Linked DNA regions of Kluyveromyces lactis. The protein of the gene in region 1 interacts with the protein of each later gene in a pairwise test. Links are inferred from orthologs where the notes say so. Each region holds a gene or a part of one and is shown in the gene's direction. Other genes may lie near its edges.

Evidence for each region.
Region 2: the proteins of ECM5 (region 1) and SNT2 interact in binary tests that used the Saccharomyces cerevisiae proteins (3 or more experiments, as listed by UniProt). The link is inferred for Kluyveromyces lactis from reciprocal best matches to the Saccharomyces cerevisiae genes ECM5 and SNT2.

What each region holds. Positions count from the first base shown.
Region 1 is NC_006039.1:1,415,539-1,420,041, reverse strand, and holds the start of ECM5 (Ecm5p), read left to right. Parts: upstream 1-1,508; coding exon 1,509-4,503. Other genes in the region: KLLA0_C16225g (uncharacterized protein), read left to right, coding at 1-56. UniProt on the Saccharomyces cerevisiae protein: May be involved in cell wall organization and biogenesis.
Region 2 is NC_006038.1:192,926-197,208, reverse strand, and holds the start of SNT2 (DNA-binding E3 ubiquitin-protein ligase SNT2), read left to right. Parts: upstream 1-1,243; coding exon 1,244-4,283. Other genes in the region: CEG1 (mRNA guanylyltransferase), read right to left, coding at 1-868. UniProt on the Saccharomyces cerevisiae protein: Transcriptional regulator that, together with ECM5, recruits histone deacetylase RPD3 to a small number of promoters of stress-response genes in response to oxidative stress.

The sequences.
Region 1 (4,503 bases):
GTTCTGGGGCAACCGGTGGTCAAAGAAACAACCAGTTCTCTAATGATAACTGGTAAATTAGAAATGACGAAATGATTTGAAAAGTTTATATTCACCAACACATTTCAGTTTAAAATGCTGTTTTATGATGCAGTCTGCTCTCATTTTGAATCTAAAATGTTATTGCCTTAACGACGAGTTTTTTTCTTAACAGCATGGTTGGATTGTTGAACAATGTAACCATGCAGTTCTCGCTGCTTTTTTTTTTTTTTATCTCCAGCGATTCCTTTCAAGGGATAAGGTCTCAAAGTTCCTTGTAGTTCGTTTTTATTTTATATCTATTATTTTAAATATACATCATGACTTGACTGATTTTATATTAAAGTAATGAAATATTGTCTATACTAGGGCTCACTTCCTCAGCTGCTGAACATTAATTGCCAAACTGAAGCAGTTTTGACAATATCATTGTAATTTCTGGATTTTCCAACGCACATGTGATTGTTGTTCATTGCGATCCTGTGGTTCTGTACTGTTATTATGGGTATCACTAGTTGAAAAATGGAAATACCTTGCGGTATAGTCAGGCAGTGCTAATAATCTTCTCATAGTGTCTGCGAAATTGTATATTCTAGTTTCCTCATTGTTTTCGGACTCTGTCACTCCATGAAATTCTGTCATATCTTACAGGACCATATGCTTACTAAGGATTGATCAAACCACGACAACAACTCCACACAGCTGAAATTTGTATAATGATTCTTTTCCGCGCGAGGAAAATGCATCATGCTCACTTATATACTTCTATTCTTACCTAGCACATTGTGTCTTTTTGACGTTTTCGGTGTCGATACTTAAGAAACTGACGTTCCTTGCTTATAGAAAACAAGAAATGGCATGCAAACGATTTGAAGCTTGCATATAAAGGGCCTATGATAATCTCACAAGCTCCTATATCCGGTTTGAATTTTGTTTAAAGACCGTGACTAGTACAGTTCGGAGTTGCAGGAGAAATGACCCGTCACACAAGTTAAAACCTTAAAATTTGGAAACGGTAAATTGTACTTTTGCTAAGTGTACAATTGTTTGCACAATATTCAGAAGGATAAGCAGAGCATGCTACATATTTAATTTATAACTACTATAATCCTTCTATATGCTAAAAAGACCATCGAAACTTAGCCTGCCAGAAATGTGCAACTCCCGTAAGGTTTTAAGCCTATGTGGAGGTTGTGAACGACATCATTTCTTCCTAAATTAGTCATTATACAAGCGTCATCTCATTATCTCATATATCGAAAAGTCTTTTATACCACGTGATATCAATGTTAATTTCGACAACATGAATTGGCGCTACAATACGAAGCGAAATTTGAGGATGAGGTGAAACATAACATCAAGAACTTTCAGTTATTGGCCATAGTAAGATAGTGTTTCGCTTGACCTTCTCAACCAATGGGAATCCAAATCGATTTTGTACAAAGACTAGGATTTTGCAACAAATTGAAACGATTTACTTCCTCTTAGTCATGGAGCATAAACAGATTTCCTCACTGCCAAGTAATTCTGTTTCGTTATTATTGAATCCAGCTCAAACGACCATATCGTACGCCAATGACGAAAGAAAACACGTAATAGATAAGGGAGAAACCTCCAGTCATTCTACCACTTCTAAAAATAAGTTTACTACCAATTCAGTCGCAGAAGCGCTGATACCGAAAATCCCAGTGCCCGACCAGTTTGAAAACAACCATTCCAAGACGACTCTTCCGAGGAAAGTTATAGACGGTCAATCAGCCTCTACTTCTTTCACACAAAATAACAACTCTCACAACCCATATTTGTATACGCAACACAGGACGAGATCTAATGCACCTTTCGATCCACTCCAAATTCATTGTGGAAAGGTTATCAATAATGCCAGGGTTGTGAGTGAGGGTACCATATCAGGAATTCATTATACAGTTCAAGAGGGATCGATCCCTACTATCACGGTCAAGGGAAACACGGATGATTTTCCCACGCCATTTGAACTTTATAGAATAATGGAACCACTTGGCAAACAATTCGGTGCTGTCAAGATTGACTTTAATCATTGTGATAACTCACCCTTCAATGCCTTTAATTTGGACACAGAGAACTTTTGGTTCAAGCCTAGAAAGCAGCATACAAACTCATATGATGTAGAACTACAGAAAAGACTCAAGCTCCACCATGATTTATACTGCTTTCATAAGGGAAAAAAAGATATAAAGGGAAATCCAACACTAGGCAAAATTCCAAGTATAGACAAGAGGACGTTAGATTTACACAGGCTACGATCCTGTGTTCAACTGAGAGGGGGCTTCGACACTGTTTGCCAAAAAAAGTTATGGGCCCAAATAGGAAGAGAACTTGGATACTCAGGAAGGATTATGAGCTCTTTATCAACGTCTTTAAGATCTGCCTACCTTAAAGTGTTTTCTGAATTTGATGCTTATGAAAGACAACATAAGCAAGCAGCAAGCCACCAGGTGATAAGCAGTGATATGTCCATACAACAAAACAGCTTTTACAATACTATGAAAAGAACTCTAGAAGAAGATCATCGTGATGCCCTCAATCCTAACCAACAGACAGGTCCACCTGTAAAGATAGCACATATTGAAAATAGAATAAACAATGAGTTCGGTGGTTCCGGTAAGGAGTATTTTAGAATGAGAGATATACTAGATGCAAAAGGGTTTACGACTAGATTTGGATCTGTCACTGAGCAGAAAGTTGGATTGACAGATGCCAATGAGTCTACACTACCTGGTTACAATTTTAGTCTATGGAACAATCAACTAGAGATATATGACAAATCTATGTACGAGTGGAAGAACTCGCCTATCTACAATTTGAGACAATATCACGAGAAAGCTGAACGACATCGTGAAATTGTCAATTCAACAGTAGAGGAATTATTTCCACACCTTTCTCATGTTGGAAAAGAAATATCACTACTTGATTTTGAAAGGCTGTATTATACAATTTTGAAAGAGGAGTCCTTGTCATTCGATGTTGATACAGGGATAGATTTGCCTACGATAGTGCATGGAAGCACTTTCTCAACATCGAAGATGGCGAGTTCCGACGAAACGAAACGTCTTATAGATGCCTGGAATTTAAATACAATAAACCTTTCTGAAAAATCCCTCCTTCAATACCAAGATCTCGATTTTGGAAACCTGGCAGGTGGTAAAATTGATGTAGGCATGATGCTCTCTACTTCTGGTTGGGCTCTAGAAGACGAATTCTTACCCTTACTTGATTTTTCCTATTTGGGATCATCGAAAGTATGGTATTTTGTCCCTCCTCAGTATCGAAATTCTCTTGAGGCCCTTTTTGATGATATACGTAATAAAAAAGAAGTGAAATCTTCTGATCAGTTTGAAGCGGACTTCACTGAGTCAGATTTCTTTCAGAGCTTTCAAGAAACTAACTTTTTGGATCAACATAAAACTTCTCGCAAAAGAAGCATTAATCATATGTTTCTGAAAAATTTAGTCCAAGATAAGCATAATTCTTATACACCCAATGACTTTCAAATCTCAACTTCTGAACTCTCAGCTTCTCATATCAGATATTTCAAAGTTATTCAAGATCCGAAGACATTTATTATGAAATATCCACAAGTCTATTCAACTTCAATTAGTTCAGGATTTCAAATATCAGAAAAATCTTTGTTTGCCCCTGAAGAATGGGTGAACAATATTCCCGACGCTGAATTATGGAGAGCTGAGAATAAACTTCTACCCTCTATTCTTCCCTTCCAGTTTTTTGTTAATATCGTTGAAAGCTCGAATGATAGAGATCTCTTAAAAAGAGTTACGCCATTGTTGATGAATCTAATTAAGGATGAATTGCATTTTAGATCTTTAGTGCCACATCATATACCCCGTGTCTCTAATAAATTCGATCCAATATCTGACATAGATCTTTCTCCCTGTGGTGGGTCAAAGATTGTTATTGCTAATGATTTCGATTGTGTGACCATTTCAGTCAAACAATTCCTCGAGCTGGAAAAGAAACTTATCGATCTAGGGGACTCAAAAGTTGAGCTGCATGAGTATTATTCAGAATCTTATTTAAAAGGACTGATTTCAAGATTTAGCAACGAGAACCTACAAACACAAACTGCCACGGATCGTGAACCGTCATTGTTAAGAAGGATAGAATCACTGAAAGCTGAAACCAATAATGACTCTAAAATTACCTTTAATGAGTTGAACAGATTACTATTGACTTGTGAAGATGGGAACAACGAAGAATACCTGCCATTGAAGGAGGTTATCAAAGAATCTCAAAGAATCATGAATGAATGCCAAGATATACTAGAAAGAGCAGAGGTGTTTAAATCAGAGAAATTTCATCTAGAAGACTCATTTGCTATGAGGAGATTAGAGGTTCCACATTTTGATGTCACTATTGATGAACTGAATTCAGTTTGCCGAGAGTTAAATAAATCCTATGTGAGAATCGAAATAGGCGACAACGTTAAAA
Region 2 (4,283 bases), on another chromosome or scaffold:
ACAAATGGAAAAGTGGCTTAACATCGTAATTGTAGTAAAACCTGTTTTTATCGCTTTTAGGTAAAGATTTGTCTTCTACTACAGGAGGTTCAATGATCAGTTTGAAATCCACAGTATTTTCTACTTCTGGTTTCCATTTCAAAAGGTAGCTATCTTTACCACCAATATGATATGCCGCTTGTACTGGAGTGAAAATTAGACCATCAGATACGTGTGGAAGTGAATCCAAGGTCTTTGCAACTTTTGCCAAATCATAACTGAAATTCATATGTTTCATTGAAATTTTGAATGGGAAAGTGGAACATCTATCTGGAAAATACGATCTTAAATCGTAATAAGGTTTGAAAAACTCTTTGCCAAGATGAGCCAAACGGGAACTTGTAGGCGATTGAACTAACGAACGACCATTTACCGCAAGGCAGTCGAACATCAAGTACCTCAGTTCCTTCAACTTGGTCACTGGATTAGTTTGCATGACAAGTTCACCATCAATTAACGTACCGTCCTGCAAAGTCTCTAGGAGTTCTTTTTTATTGGCACGGGGCAAACATGGAAATCTAAATCCATTGACCATATAGTAGTTGTTTTCACGGTCAATCATAAAACACCCTTGCTCTTTTGTAACTGGATTCACCATTATCAACATTAACGCACGCAATCCATCTGTCTTTTCACATACGTAATAGTCTTGCGCAAGTAACTTCTCCTCAATATCAGCCAGATGGAAAGAAACAGGTTGAGAGCCCGGAAAGGTATTAGCGGGTTTCGCTGAATTGAGTAGCTTACACATCAACATTCGAATATCATTAGTAATTTGTCCGGGTTGTCTTAGACCAGGAATCTCTGGTGCAACTCTGTTATTGTCCATGGCAATTAAGTTATAAACTTAGGCAAAAAAAAGGACAGTCAAAACACACGTATGCAATATCAATTGCCTTGGTTCATTAAGTTCAGGCTGCCTTAATCTATTGCTGTTTACCTTATTACGTATTTTCATCTGGTTCAGTAATTGTAAAATGCTTTCCAATTATTTTCAATATCGAAAGATGTATATAAAAACGCTATATGCAGGATATGAATATGGATTCAATATGAGGAGGAGCAACAACATACCAAGAGAGAAATAGTGCAAAAGGGAATACAGGATACATCCGGAGTTGCTAGCAAAAGTGTTGCATTTGAAGAATTGATATTCACTTGTGATATTTAACAGCAATTTGCATCAGCTTACTTCCGGCTAGTGATGACTGTCGTCTCAGGACAAAATTCGCCAGATGAGATAATAATTTCAAATGGCAATGAGTACACAAGTCGTAGGCGAACTGCGACCAAGAATGTGAGTTATAATGAGAAGGAAGCCGACATTGCGTTGGCGAAGAAGATTAAACAATTAGAGAAGGCGAACTCTTCGAAACAGAAGTCTGAAAAGGGTGAAACTATAAAGAAGAATGGCATTCAGAAGAAGGCGAACAATGGAAAGAAGTCACAGAAGAGTAGTTTCAAGTATCAGTCGTTCTTGCAAGACAAGAACACGCCGTGGAATTTCATTCCTTCTCTACCTAACTCATTCAAGAAATACGCAAGGTTCAGTACCATGTTGGATATCGATGAGATGACCGTTGACGTTTCTAAGCAATTGCTACTATCTGACGGATCGGCTGTCTTGAAAAAAGATGAGCACATATTTATGGTATCAGAACCACCTGGAGAACCCTACTATATTGGTAGGATAGTTGAGTTTGTGCCGAAAAAGGAGTTTCGTTCACTCATATCGCGTTCATTACACTTGGCAACTAGTTTCCCTGCGATTTATTTTCAGTTAAAAATGAATTGGTACTATAGACCCAGAGATATCCAGGAAAGAACAAATAGTACAAGCTCCAGAATGCTATACGCTTCACTTCATAATGATGTTTGCCCAATTTACTCATTCCGTGGTAAATGTAATGTCAAATTTCAAAAAGAATTTACCTCAATTGATCAGCTAACAGAATACGTCTCAAGACCCAATTGTTTCTACTTCAACCAACTTTTCGATAGATATACACTAAAGTATTACCAAATGGAAAAAACAGATCAGATGGCTGTGCGAGTTGCTTCTGATCTACCGTATTTCAAGATTTTAACTAGTAAATTCCCATTCATTTTCTATGAGGATAAATTCCCACTGGATAACCTACTTACCAAATATGTCTGTGGCAAAAGAACCGAAGACCAAAGCTGGGATTTGCGTTGCGGCGAATGTCGCGATTGGTGCCACCAATCGTCTTCTATCAAGTGTGATGACTGTAAGATATCGATTCATCTGTGGTGCATGGACCCGCCCTTAGAAAAGAAGCCGGCAAAAGGTGTGGTTTGGATTTGTTCAAATTGTGTCGGAAAGCAGAACAACCAAGAGCACATCACGAGGGACAAAGAATGGGAAGGAATAGAAAGTTCGGTTGAAAGGCTAACAGAAAGTTTGGCTTCTATCAGAGATTTCAATACAAACAGAGAAAATTGGTGGTTCCAGTATCTGGGAGAAGACATGTGCAATCATTTAGGTGATCCATTATTTGACGACTATATCGCACCATTCCCATGGAAAAAAAGTAGAGTAAGTTTACAAAAGGGCCAATGGAGTAATTGTAATCAACAATGGGTGGAAGATCCGTACAGCAATAAACCTGGAGAACGAGGGACTTCTGCTTCTGTGGAAGGCCTTTGGATTGTTAATAATGAAAAAATGGCAGAGAGCGAATTAGACGAATATGTTAAAAGGTGTAAGAGTACAATTCCTGGCAATCTCGAAGTTCAACCAGAAGCTTGTAACTTCATCGACATAATCCTCAAGCTATTAATGCAAAATGATTATAACTCCGAAATTTCTTTCCTTAAAGCAACCGAGATTATAACTAGAGAATCGTTGAAGGAGCCAACATTATCACAAGAAGAAATTAAGAAATTCGAAGAGGGGGTTAGTTTATATGGAAGCGAATTACACCCTGTTTGTAAGCATGTTGGAACGCAATCAATGTCAATGATTGTTCGCTATTATTATTACTGGAAAAAGACTCCGAATGGGAGAAGAATCTGGGGAAATTTTAAGGGCAGAGCGAAGAACAGAAAGAAGCAAAGTATTGATGATTCAACTAACAAGAAGTCTAGTTCCGATAAAGGTGATAAAAATTCTAAAAGGATACCGAAAAAGAAAGCACAATCGACACAACTTTTGAAACACATTGATGACTCTTCTTTTGACTCTGAACAAATATCAGATGTAAAAAAATGCTTCCAATGCATGTTTTGTTCTTTAGATTATTCACCATTATGGTATAGGGTTACTGGTGGGTCAGAGGATGATCACATTCATAGAAGACTTACGACCGGAGTAAATGAAAAAGTTTCAGGTAGTGATAGCGAGAAAGCCAAACAGGTTGAAAAAGATAATGAGAAACTGAATGCCCTTTGTATAAGATGTGCAAGGATGTGGAGGCGTTACGGTATTAGATGGTCATCTCCTATCGATGTTTTAAGACAACTTTATGGTAGTAGTTCTTCATCGGTCCAGGGTGCGATAAAGGACTTACTGGAGGATAATGACGAACAGGCAATTTGTTGTTCCACTAATCAGGCCTTTTCAAAAAATCTGGACTGGGAACTAGTGATAGATACGGAATCAATCACTAAACAGCGCTACGCAGCGACAGATAATCCCGAAAAGCTATTAAAAATGAAGAGAAACACTTTATCTTCTCAAGCACAAATGAATAAATCTGTTAAAAAGTTAATAGATTTGAATTCAATCAAACCAGTGAACCTTGAAGAAAGTCTCATGGGCTACATTTCTCGCATAGAGGCTCAGATCAAGAGGAAAGAAGAGATTAAATTCAAGAGACAAAAGGAAAGAGCGTTACAAGAACAGCTAATATCCGAGGCACATATGAAGAAATCTTCAAAATCTGCCATTACAACCAAACAAGCACAGGTGCTTGTAACTGAAAACAAACCACAGATAACTGAAATACAAGTGAAACAACAAATAGTTCCATATGCCAGTCCGTCAGTCATAAGAAAACTGATGCCAAATGGTGAGTTCTCGATAAACATAGAATTTGAAACGCCTACTGTTGCTCCTAATGCGTCCATCACTGTAAATCCTGACTTTTCTATGGTGAAATTATCTGATCCAATTATTTCAATTTTACGCCAAGATCGTGAAAAACATATGTTAACAGAAGACATTTCTTCCGAATCAAAACGGAAAAGAAAGAAACCATCTACTACATCACTTGACAAGAGTT